2 linked regions of the Callithrix jacchus genome follow. The protein of the gene in region 2 interacts with the protein of the main gene of each other region in a biochemical or structural test. Links are inferred from orthologs where the notes say so. Each region holds a gene or a part of one and is shown on either strand. Other genes may lie near its edges.

The links.
Region 1: the proteins of RHNO1 (region 2) and HUS1 form a complex in vitro, tested with the Homo sapiens proteins (2 studies listed by BioGRID). The link is inferred for Callithrix jacchus from reciprocal best matches to the Homo sapiens genes RHNO1 and HUS1.

The regions. Positions count from the first base shown.
Region 1 is NC_133512.1:15,519,467-15,526,065, forward strand, and holds the start of HUS1 (checkpoint protein HUS1), read right to left. Parts: upstream 4,298-6,599; 5' UTR 4,258-4,297; coding exon 4,206-4,257; exon of another isoform or gene 4,159-4,205; intron 3,848-4,158; exon of another isoform or gene 3,707-3,847; intron 3,583-3,706; coding exon 3,455-3,582; intron 3,357-3,454; coding exon 3,180-3,356; intron 1,253-3,179; coding exon 1,145-1,252; intron 109-1,144; coding exon 34-108; intron 1-33. UniProt on the Homo sapiens protein: Component of the 9-1-1 cell-cycle checkpoint response complex that plays a major role in DNA repair. The 9-1-1 complex is recruited to DNA lesion upon damage by the RAD17-replication factor C (RFC) clamp loader complex.
Region 2 is NC_133510.1:16,196,479-16,202,952, reverse strand, and holds the start of RHNO1 (RAD9, HUS1, RAD1-interacting nuclear orphan protein 1), read right to left. Parts: upstream 4,214-6,474; 5' UTR 4,122-4,213; intron 3,899-4,121; 5' UTR 3,747-3,898; intron 1-3,746. UniProt on the Homo sapiens protein: Involved in microhomology-mediated end-joining (MMEJ) DNA repair by promoting recruitment of polymerase theta (POLQ) to DNA damage sites during mitosis.

The sequences.
Region 1 (6,599 bases), on a different chromosome or scaffold from region 2:
TCAGAGTTATTTTCTAAAGAAGTTGTAACTTACAAGGTGACTGCTGATGTTTTTCATTTTTTCCACAACACTCTTCATAGTCTTCAAGACTGGTAAATAAATACTAACCTATAAAACCAATAAGAAAACCAGTATTAAAAATATTAATATACTCTAGTAAGGACAAGTGTTCCATAACTAACTCTGGAACACATGCATGCTCAAAAACTACAGAGTACTATTTTAAAATTTTCTGAAATAAAGTTCTTTTAAAAATATAAGAAGAAAATCAATTCTATTTCACTATCTCATGGATGCTCAAGCAAAATCAAAGAATGGAATGCCTGACTCTGGTTCCCTCAGCAACCATGTCCCTGTGGGCATTCTTCTGGTTCAAGAAGGAATAGGGTACTTCGGCTGAGATGCTCCTGTATTGGTCTAGGGGGAAGAAAACTCAGGCACACAGCAGGAGGCCTTCCTCTAAGGGACATTTACACCTAGGATTCAGGGGCCTTTTCCATGCTCTGTGCAAAAATACGGCAAGCAGTCACCCAATCATACTCGAGTCTGTTAGCAAGTGTGCTCTATAAAACACGGGCTTTTTCAAAATCAGCATAGATCCCTTCGAGTAAAAGTCAAGTAATTATTTTACCCAGCATAATTTTGTAATTTCTTAAGTAAATTGTGAGCAAGAGGCAAGGGGTCCTTTGGCATCATCTTTACTTTCAGGGGCTCTAGGGTTAACCATCAGCATGACTGTTAACCCAAAACCTAAGCCATGAAACTCCTCTCTCCTTGGCTTTTGTGCACATCCAGATGCTGCTTCTGACAGGCTGAGGAAAAGATCAAGTCCTGCGAAACCCATATTGGTGCTGAAGGCCAAGAATACTAACAAATACTAATTGTCCGCCAACAGATCATTTCAGTTTTGTTTTGTTTAAGTGATGTTACTGAGTGAGACATTTTCCACATATAGGACAGCATGGCATTTCTGTCATATGCAACATGTCCTAAGATGCTTTATGTAAATATCGAAAGGCAAATATTCTAATGTTTTCCTTATGTATCCTTTAAAAATAAAATATACTGCAAGACTACAACTAAAATCAGAGAATTCTAGTCATGCCATGTAATGTGGGGTGTACAACAGGACTGCATCACTTACATCGGGATCTGGGACCATCGGTTCTTGTAAGTCCTTCCACAATTTCCTAGGAATAACCTTTATGGGGATGTCATGTGTCGCAATGCGGGTACTGCTTGACATAGAAAACTGCCAAGAAAAGAATTAATCTTTTATGTTAATATTAACAACAAAACAAACCCAAAGACCCGAGGATAAAAAAGTTGAAACGACAAACCTAAGTGGAATGTTGTCAATTTATTCACTCAAAAGCCATTCGACCAGTATTTATGACACGTACTCAGGGTACTTTCAGGAACCGGGAAGTGTGGTGAATGAGACAAAAAGGTCCCCAGTGTTCCAGTGGAACAAACAGATCAATAAAAAGGCAAACGATTGAAATTATATCAAACGCTCATTAGAGCCATGAGACAGCACAGCACGGTGACCAGGGTGAGTGTGGGGGGCTTCCTTAGACTGGGGAGGCGACATTCCAGATACCACCAAAGCCGGGAGGAGTAGCATCCACGGGAAGACAGGAACAAGGGGACAGTGTTTCAGGCTGGGGAAATAGCATATGGAAAGCCGTGAGGCAGAAAGAAGCAAGCCTGCTATGTTGAGGCAACTGAGAAGGCCATTCTTTGGGCATAGGACACTCAGTGTGTTGCAGTTTCTAAACAGTTAAAATGCAAACTGTATTTTTCTATTTCTAGGGGCGACTATGAGAGTCACAGACCAAAAGATTTTGCACTTTTAGATAGAAAAGTATTACATGTTACTATCTTGCTTTTCCTTAAGCAATAGAAAAACATACCAAACTTATATCGTGACATGAAATACCCTAATTAGCTCTAAGAACTGCCTGATTGCAAAAAGTTGAGACTTATGAAGAAAAGCTGAGGAATCCTTTTCCACGGAAAGCTTGAAACTAAATATAATACTCACCCATAGATGGATAAAGTATATATAATGGCAAAAACCACAATTACCATTGCACCAACTGAATACAATATATAAGGAGAGCTGTAAGAGAACAGAAGACTGGGGCAAGGGCAGCATTGGCGACGAGCACTAAATGAAGAGAAGGTTTCAGAGTGAGAAGGAAATAAACTGCAAGTGGAAGCCCAATATCACCAAAGCCTGGGAGTTCAGAAAGAATGAGACACATCTAGGGAAAGCACTCAGGGGATCACAGTTTATAATTTGGTCCCTAAGATGGATTGGGCCATATGTGAAGGGCTTTGGTCATGTTAAGAAACATGAACTTCAGGCCAGGCGCGTGGCTTATGCCTGTAATCCTAGCACTTTGGGAGACCAAGGTGGGTGGATCACCTCAGGTCAGGAGTTTGAGATGAGCCTGGCCAACATGGCAAAACGCTGTCTCTACTAAAAACACAAAAAATTAGCCAGGCATGGTGGCGGGCACCTATGATACCAACCACACAGGAAGCTGAGGCAGGAGAATTGCTTGAACCTGGGGGATGGAGATTGCAGTGAGCTGAGATCGCACCACTTCACACCAGCCTGGGCGAAAGAGCAAAACTCCATCTCAAAAACAAAACAAAACAAATCAAAACAGAAATACGAACTTCATCCTGTGAGTAGGAAGAGCAACTCTGTGTTGTATGTGTACACATGAGTTTGTGTATTTGTGTGTTTGGGGGACAGCTGTGCACTCAATTCATCTGGCAGGAGCATACAAAACACAGGTGTACTGAAGAATGAGGGCCCATTAAAGGCAGGGTGGGAGTGAAGAGAAAACATGCCAAAGACGAAAATCGATTGAAATCATGATTTCTAGACAAGGTGACAACACCACTACAAGAAATAAAGAGGCTGGAAGTTTTATGACTTGTAAAAGGCAGCATTCTAGCTGAATGCATATGATCACAACACTATAAAATGAGGAGGAACTGACTCTAATGCAAAATATAGTTATGGACCAGATCTTTAAATTTAAATAAGCCAAATAGTTTTCAACAATATTTATTGTTATAAAGGCTAGGCTAACTACATCTATTCCTTCGAGGCCAAGATTTCCGTGGGAAATTTCAGAAACCCTGACTCTCCTACTCACCAGCTCCACGGAGACTGTGAGGCAGGGAAAGTGTTTATTAGTCAGTTTGATTTTCAAGGCTCTGGCATTCTGGGCAGTTTTCAAGGCTCGTGATAAGTTTTCCGATGTTAGCTCTAAATAAATCTCGTTGTTTTCTGCAGAGAAACCCTCCATTTGAAATTCGCTGAAGAAGTTCTCCTAAAGGAAAAAAAAAAATGGGGGATGAGGGAGGGCATTTGTGGTCTTTCCAATGACAATCTGTAGCGTGTGCAGGCCTCTCAGAAGCTTTTGCTCACCTGTTCCAGCTCACACCACATGCTCACCCCTCCATTAGCCAGCTTGTCACAAAGGATGAAGTTAAGCTTGTCAGGGCTGATGCGGAGGGTACAGGTTTTGGCAAGCTTGGCTATCATGTTACTGATTCCTAAAGCAGGAGTTAAAATAAGGAATTACTAAAATGCACATCATGTATCCTAGACACCAACTTATTTTGCACAATTTCTTGTTCATCATGGTGCAACTTCCCGGTGAAAAACATAACGACTTACGTTTGTATCACACTGGAAAGTACTTTAATACCTCTGATGTCATGCAATTCTCCCAACAAACCCAGGGAGACGTACAGCACACATCTTCAGTGTCCTACCAGTCATTCATTCATTCAACATAAACTTACTGACTACTGGATACTGCAACAGAGTTGAATGCAAAGTTAGGCACTGTCAGGGGGGAGGGACGAATGGAGCCTTCAAGGAATGTCAAAGCCTGATAAAGCCGTCTAGGGGAGCAGTGGCCGCTTTTTTAAAAAGCCACGTGATCAGAATCAAGTTTCAGAAACGTCTCTTGAAAGCTGCCTTCATCCCTACAAGTCCCTACGGCCCACCCCGCGCCCTCCCGCGGCTTCCATAAGCACCCCCATCCCGGACCCCATCCTCCAGCGGCCCCTTCCTGCGCCCATCCCCGCTCTGATCCTCCCCCGCGGTCCCCACCGCGCGCTCACTGCCTTTTTCCGTTCCTCCCTCGCTCCCCTCGGGCCTCCTTGCTCACGTGTGAAGTGGTTCAGACAGGCCCCGTCCACTATCTTGCCCCGAAACTTCATTGCTGCGCGGCAGGGTCTATGGGTAGCGGATAAGTGTCTCACCCTGAGCGTCCCCGCCCGGAAACAGGGCGGCGCGCACAGTGGTTCCGCCCGACTAGGGCTACGCGGCTCTTAGCAGAGTAGCCTCCGGGCCACGCCCCGGGGAAGGTGGGGCCACGGGTCACGCCCCACTGGAGGTGGGGTCACAGGTCAAGGATCTCGGGTCACGCCCTGGGGGAGGTGGGGTCCCAGTTACTGGGTTTGCCTCCTTGCTCCGGGGTGATGGTGGGATCTGCTTTTTGTGAGGCAGAGGCTTCAAGCTCCTGATGTGGGGACGGGTTCTGAGAATTCACGTTTTGAAAGAATTTTGTGACACCTATTTCAAGTTCTATTCTAAAATATCCAAATAAAATTAATCGTCTATAAAGGTTAAACAATACTATCTCTTAAATATGTCTCTCTAAGGTAGAGCAGCTTTAAACTCTCCAATCTCAGATGACGGTACCGGTACTTCGGTATTGAAGCATCTTGGTTAAGGTTCTGAAAATCGTTTTAAATGACTTTTTAAAAAAATGGAACATATTACTGGCTAGTTGGTAAAGGCAAGATGCTTAAAGAACACTGACGTTAAGTGATAATTCTGCAGTTTGTCTCAAGACGAACTTTACTACCTCCAATAAAATTCTTATTAGCATAAGTAACGTCAGTAGGATTTTTTTTAAGGAAATAAATTTTAAAGGGGGTAATGCAGCAAGCAACACTGTATCTAATTTGCTTTTTCAAAGCCTGAAGATCATTTATGTTAATAATTGTTATTTTTAATGCCCTTTGCAAATAGGAGCCTAGAACCTTGTCTTTAACTTGACATATAAAATCAAGATAATTATAAAGGAGATTATTATTATTATTATTATTATTATTGAGATAGAGTCTCACTCAGTCCCCCAGTCTGGAGTGCAACGGCTTGATCTTGGCTTACTGCAACCTCTGCCTCTGGGTTCAAGTGATTCTCCTGCTTCGGCCTCCCAAGTAGCTGGGATTACAAGCATGTGCCACCACGCCGGGCTAATTTTTGTATTATTAGTAGAGATGGGGTTTCACCAGGTTGGCCAGGCTGGTCTCCAACTCCTGACCTCAGGTGGTCCAACCGCCTCAGCCTCCCAAAGTGCTGGGATTACAAGGCGAGAGCCAATGTGCCAGGCCTAGATTATTTTTAAAGTGCAAAATACAAAATTTGCAGTTTTTGCCTATCTTAAGACCATAACATGAAGCTAAATTCTACTCTTCATTGTCACATGCGAGTGTTTGTCAAACCAAACTTCATATATCAATTTCAAAGTTATGCCAATAGGCCAGGCACAGTGGCTCACTCCTACAATCTCATTCTGGGAGGCAGAGTTGGGTGGATCACCTGAGTTAAGGAGTTTGAGACAAGATGCCTAAACAGCCTGGCCAACATGGTGAAACCCCATCTCTACTAAAAAATACAAAAATTAGCCAGACATGGTAGCAGACACTTGTAATCCCAGCTACTCAGGAGTCTGAGGCAGGAGAATTGCTTGAACCTGGGAGGCAGAGATTTCAGTGAGCTGAGATCAGCCACTGTGCTCCAGCCTAGGCAACAAACCGAGACCCAGTCTCAACAAGTAAATAAATAATAAAGTTGTGCCAACATTTTTTATTTGCGCCGTATGATCTGCAGGAAAAAAGCATGTTTTTAAAATTTCTTCATAAATGTATTTTGAAGAATTGAGCATCACATTAAGTAAGGTGGCTGCCGATAGATAAATGAATATAATTAAAGAATATATTTAAATAAACTTTGTAAATAGTATTTTGTAACAGCTTGATCTTTCCTGGAAATTGCTTTATTTTGTCAAACTTCCTAAGAAGATGTGATTCTATACATTCTGCATTGACAAACACCCAAATAATATAGGAATTTGATTCAAGAAATAGAAAATAAAGTTGCAGTTATCTTTTCTTGGAAGAAGAAAGAAATATTTTATGTGTTCTTGTAAGATTCTTAAATAGGTTTAGCAAATTAATTCAGTAACTCCAGAATTGACAATTAAATATATTGACACTACTTCTCTACTTTCCAAATGATTTTGGGAGAAGGAATGTGATCTCTAGAGATTTCTAGAAGCCCCATGTACCACTGAGTTTTCTAACGCAATGTGTATTCATGTTCTTGTCGAGCTATAGAAAATAGCCTTCTGATTTAAGAACGGCCAAACCTCAGGGGTTAGTTACTTAGCCACACAATGATCTGGGAAACGGTGTTGACGCTGTTCATTAAGTTTGTTTACTGGGGAGGTAAATGCCTTAATCTTGTCTTAGAAACTGAATTACACAGTGAT
Region 2 (6,474 bases):
ATCCAGCGGAAAGATGACAGTGGTAGCAATGGCTATGGCGTTGAAATTCATGACTTGCTGAAAGTCATCAGCTTCAAATGGGTACATTGCTCAGCAATCCTGTTTCCTTGATCAACTCATTCTCCACAAAGATTATGTTAAAATTTCTCCAAGTTATGTACAGTAGCTCATGCCTATAATCCCAGAACTTTAGGAGGCTGAGGTGGGAGGACTGCTTGAGGCCAAGAGTTCAAGACCAGCCTGGGCAACATAGTGACACCTCGTCTTGACTAAAAATTTAAAAGAATAATTAGTTGGACATGGTGGGACACACCTGTCGTCCCAGCTATTTGGGAGGCTGAGGTGGGAGGATCACTTGAGCCTAGGAGTCTGAAGATGCAGTGAGCTATGATCATGCCACTACACTCTAGCCTAGGTGACAGACAGACCCTATCTCGAAAAAAAAAGTGGAAATTTTTGTTTGTTAGTTTTGAAATGAAGTCTCACTCTGTTGCCCAGGCTGGAGTGCAGTTGTGCAATCTAGGCTCACTGTAACCTCTGCTTCCCAGGTTCAAGTAATTCTCCTGCCTCAGTCTCCTGAGTAGCTGGGATTACAAGTACCCATCACCATGCCCAGCTAATTGTTATATTTTTTAGTAGAGATGGGGTTTCGCCATGTTGGCCAGGCTGGTCTTGAACTCCTGACCTCAGGTGATCTGCCAACCTTAGCCTCTGAAAATGCTGGGATTACAGGCCTGAGCCACCACGTCCAGGCTGAAAATTTTTATTTTAATTTTTTAAATTACTGTTAGAGGTGAGTTCCTGCTCTGTTGCCCAGACTGGAGTCCAGTGACATGATCATAACTCACTGCAGTCTCAAACTCCTGGGTTCAAGAGATCCTCTTGCCTTAGGCTCCTGCAGAGCTGGGACTATAGACAAGCACCACCACACCTGGCTGGTTTCTTATTTTATTTTATTTTTTTTAGTGATGGGGTCTTGCTGTGTTGTCCAGGCTGGTCTTGAACTCCTGGGCTCAAGTGATTCTCCTGCCTCAGCCTCCCAAAGTGCTAGAATTACAGGTGTGAATCACCATACCCTGCCCACTTTCTTAGAATGTCAGAACACCCCTTTTCTGTTAACAAATGATTTTACTTCAGACTTGACAACGAATGCAGAAGACATCAAAGGAAATACTCGGATTTTACAGAAAGCAAACACACAAACCTATGCATATCAGCATCTATCTTCTTTCTGCTCTAACTAGAGGTCAGTTCATTCTGGTATCTAAGTCCTTCCCCTCTGGTTGTGCTTCGGAGCTATTCTCACTCTATATACTTTTCTTAGGCAAACTCATCTACCTGTATTTCCGTAACCACCTATAAGTAGATGACTTCAATATTTATATACTCATTTTAGAATTCCTTAAGTTCAGTCCCACTACCTACCTGAACATCAACTAGATATTTCAAATGCACCTCAAATTCAACATGTTTAAGGCTGAGCGCAGTGGCTCACGCCTGTAATCCCAGCACTTTCAGAGGCCAGGGCAGGCGATTGCTTGAGCTCATGAGTTTGAGACCAGACTGGGCAACATAGCGAAACCAGAACTCTACAAAAAATACAATAAATTAGGTGCGCTTGGTGGTGGGCATCTGTAATCCTAGCTACTCAGGAGGCTGGGGTTGGCAGATCACTTGAGCCCAGGAGGCGAAGGTTGCAGTGAGCCGAGATCGCACCACTGCACTCCAGCCTGGACGACAGAGCCAGAAACTGGCTTCAAAAAAAGAAAAGAAAAAAAAATTCAACAAGTTTAAAATTGAACTTGGCCGGTTGCATTGGCTGGCATTACACCTGTAATGCTAGCATTTTAGGAGGTGAAGGTGGGAGGATCCCTTGAGCCCAAGAGTTCAAGATCAATCTGGGCAAGAGTGAGACCTTGTCTCTACAAAAAATACAAAAATTAGCTGGGCATAGTGGCATGTGCCTGTAATCCCAGCCATTCAGGAGACTGAGGTGGGAGGATCACCTAAGCCCAGGAGGCTGAGGCTGTAGTAAGCCAAGGTCATGCCACTGGACTTCAGCCTGGGGGACAGAGCAAGACCCTGTCTCTAAAAAATAAAAAGATAAATAAAAATAAATATATAAAATTTTTTTTAAAAACTGAACTCCGCCGGGCGCAGTGGCTCAGGCGTGTAATCCCAGCACTTTGGGAGTCCGAGCCAGGCGGATCACGAGGTCAGGAGATCGAGACCATCCTGGCCAACATGGTGAAACCCATCTCTACTGAAAATACAAAAATTAGCTAGGTGTGGTGGCACGTGCCTGTAATCCCAGCTACTTGGGAGGCTGAGACAAGAGAATCTCTTGAACCCAGGAGGCAGAGGTGGCTGTGAGCCTAGATCTCACCACTGCACTCCAGTCTGGCAACAGAGCGAGACTCCGTCTCAAACAAAACCAAAAAAACAACTGAACTCATTCTGAGCATTGCTTTGTAGTAAAAAACAAAAACTGAATTCACAGTCATTCCCTGACAACCTCACCGCCACCCCTTGGCCAAAGTGATTATCTTCCAGGGCTCTTGATCAGGGAATGGTGTCATTATTCTTTCAATTATGCAGCCAAATATCTTGACACTTCTATCTTCCCACCTCCCATCCAACCCACCATCAAGCCCTGTCAACTTTACCTTTTAAACACCTTTCATAATGCCCCTTTTTCACTCTCTGTTTCCTTCCTTTTCTTCCTCTCTCCCTGACAACCTTTTTCAAGCTCAAGCAGTTCCTGCCTGGAGTATTGCAATATCCAACTGGTCTGCCCTAATCCACTCTAGCAACCCCTGCTGTAGAGGGACCTTTTAAAATGCAAATCTGACCTCAGTTCACTTCTGCTTCAAGCTTATGATTGATTTCCTTTATTCTTGGATAAGCATAAAACTTCTCAGTATGGCGAAGGCCTGCTTCCTCTGCCTCCAGCTTCAACTCACACCACACTCCACTCAGGCTGATTAGCTCAAACCCCTCAGATATTCCTCACCGTGCTTACTCCTGCCATGCCGCCTTTGCACACCTGATTCCCTCTGCTTATGGAGGTTCCCTCCTTTTTTTGTAAAAGGTACCAGATCTCACACACCAAGCTCTCACGGGAAAAGCCTTTCCTGTCCTACCTCTCAAGATCTCCTTATTGTAAATACTCAAAGTATCATTAAGCTCTACTGTTTCACTTGACAGCAGTAATTCCACTATTGTGTGTTTGTTTGTTTTGGAGATGGTGTCTCCCTCTGTCACTCCCTCCGTCCAGGTTGAAGTGCAGTGGTGTAACAGTTTACCATAGCCTCCACCTCTCCGGCTCAGGTCATCCTCCCACCTCAGCCTCCAGAGTAGCTGGGACTACAGGCACGCACCACCACACCCGGCTAATTTTTAGTAGAGAAGCGGTTTCACCATGTTGGCCAGGCTGGTCTTGAACTCGTGACCTCAATCCATCCACCTGCCTCGGCCTCCTAAAGTGCTAGGGTTACAGGCGTGAGCCACCGTACCCAGCCCACATTTGTTTATTTGATTACTTAAAAACGTCTGAGCCCCTCTCCCAGGATTGGGCTGTGAGTCCAAGGGAAGTTAAGAACCTTGTCTGCCATTGTACCCTCAGGGCCTAGCGGTGCCTGGCACATAGTAGTTGTTCAACTAGACAGGCTAAGTAAATAAATAAAGCACTACAGTCTATTGTATCCGAAGGCTTAGCTTTGGGAGGGGCAAAGACAGGTCAGTACCTTAAGATTTCGCGCGCACGTAGGGCTCAAGGTGCCGACATTTTTTCCAAGATGGAAGAAAGCTGAGATCACACGCAGCCCTCAAAGAACCCTCGGGCTAATCGCGGGGAGCAAATAATCGTTCGCTGTAGGAAAACTGGGTACGATTTCCCCTGGGAAGGAAATCAAGTAAAGCCGACCTTTGAAAAGGGGAGCAGAGCAGTTCGAGGGGAGACAGGGGCGTGTCGCCTGACTTGGCTAGGGCGGCAGGGAAGCGGGCCCAGGGAGCCGGGCCTGTCACGCCGCTTCCGCGCGTCCCCAAACTGTCCCTCTGCTCGCCCACCCACGCCGCGGAGACCCCTCCGGCCCCTCCCTGACCTCACGGCCACCTCTTACCCCACGAACAGGCCAGCGGGCCGCCTTACCAGCCCGGGCCGGCCAGGGCCGCCGCTCCTGTCACACCGCGCCGCGTTCGAGCCCCGAATGCCGAGACAAGCCGGCGCCGATTGGCGACGTTCCGTCACGTGACCTTAACGCTCCGCCGGCGCCAGTTTCAAACAGCGGAACAAACTGAAAGCTCCGGTGCCAGACCCCACCCCCGGCCCCGGCCAGGGACCCCCTCCCTTCCCGGGATCCCCCGGGGTTCCCACCCCGCCCGCACCGCCGGGGACCCGGCCGGTCCGGCGCGAGTCCCCGTCCGGGGTCCGGGCTCGGCCCCCAGGTTGGAGGAGCCCGGAGCCCGCCTTCGGAGCCACGGCCCAACGGCGGCGGCGACTGCAGTCTGGAGGTGAGCGGGATGCAGGAATGGAGTCCCAGGCCTGGCCTAGGCACAGGCGGGGAGCAAGGCCTCCGGGTGCGGAGGTCAGGGCGTCTAGCAGCAGGGCACGGGCCACCAGTGGAGGTTTGGGCCATACGGGGAGAAGGTCTGAGCCAGGGTGCAAATTTTTTCTGCATCCAACCTCCTGGCCTTGGCATTCTCACTACTTAAAGCGCCCCATGGACTTCCCTGAAGTCTGACCTCTGCACCCTGCCCACAGCCTCGGGAGGGCTGGGGTGACCTACTTTCTTCCTTAGGCCGACTGTGGCTGCGATGAAGACTGAGCTTGTACTATATTGAGTCAAAGACCAACATACGTACACACTCCCCTGCTCCCAGGCTGTCTCACCACTAGGCAACACTGCCTCCATCTTACCCTTTGGCCACCACCCTTCTCCTGGTTCTTGAGAATGTAGCAAGATTTCCCCGCTTGGGATGGGGATGGGTCAGAGGAGCCACTCTGGAAGTTTCCCGGGCAAGAAAGTGTCGGCAATAATACTAAGAGGTTGGTCAGGAATTAGAAGAGAAACTTAAGACTTAGATATCCTGTGGAAAAATAACAGTATCTACTGATTGATGCAGGGAGAGAGGGAGGCCTGGAAAGATATGAGGTGAAGGTGAAACAGATTTGAAGGTAGAAGTGTGGAGGGCCTGTGAACTCTATGCAGATGGCAAATGTCAAGAAAGTGCAGTTGCTTTTCAGGGAGACAAGTGTCCTAAAAATGAGACAGCCAAGGCCTGGCGCGGTGGTTCAGGCCTGTAATCCCAGCACTTTGGGAAGCCGAGGCAGGCAGATCACAAGGTCAGGAGATGGAGCCCATCCTGGACAACATGGTGAAACCCCCATCTCTACTAAAAATATACAAAAATTAGCTGGGCATGGTGGCGCACGCCTGTGGTCCCAGCTGCTCGGGAGGCTGAGGCAGAAGAATTGCTTGAACCCATGAGGTGGAGGTTGCAGTGAGCAAGATCGCACCACTGTACTCCAGCCTGGTGCCTGGCAACACAGCAAAACTCTGTCTCAAAAAAAAAAAAAAGAGAGAGAGAAACAGCCAATTCCTCTGTCTCCCATAGTTCCATGAAATAGAATTATACAAGTTTACTTAATAGTAGAATATTCCATATATCTATTAAAATCAGCAAAGGGCCAGACACGGTGGCTCACACCTGTAATGCCAGCACTTTGGGAGGCTGAGATGGGCAGAAGTTTGAGGTCAGGAGTTTGAGACCAGCCTGACCAACATGGTGAAACCCCATCTCTACTAAAAATACAAAATTAGCCAGGTATGGTGGTGCACACCTGTAATCCCAGCTACTTGGGAGGTTGAGGCAGGAGAATCACTTGAACCCAGGAAGGTGGAGGTTGAGGCAGGAGAATCACTTGAACCCAGGAAGGTGGAGGTTGCAGTGAGCCAAGATCGCACCATTGCTCTTCAGCCTGGGCAACAAGAGCAAAACAACATCTCAAAAAAATTTTAAAAATCAGGCTGGGTGTGGTGGCTCACACCTGTAGTCTCAGCTCTTTGCGAGGCTGAGGTGGGTAGATCGCCTGAGGTCAGGAGTTCTAGACCAGCCTGGCCAACGTGGTGAAACACTGTCTCTACTAAAAATACAAAAATTAGCTGGACGTGGTGGTGGGCACCTGTAATCCCAGCTACTCAGGCTGAGGCAGGAGAATCGCTTGAACCTGGGAGACGGAGGTTGCAGTGAGCCGAGATGTAATCCCTGCACTCCAGCCTTGGCAACTGAGCGAGACTCCATCTCAAAAAAAAATAAAGGCTGGGTACAGTGGCTCACACCTGTAATCTGAGCACTTTGGGAGGCTAAGGTGGGTGGATCACCTGAGGAGTTTGAGACCAAACTGGCCAACATGGTGAAACCCCATCTCTGCTAAAAAAAAAAAAAAATTAACTGGCGTGTTGGTGTACGCCT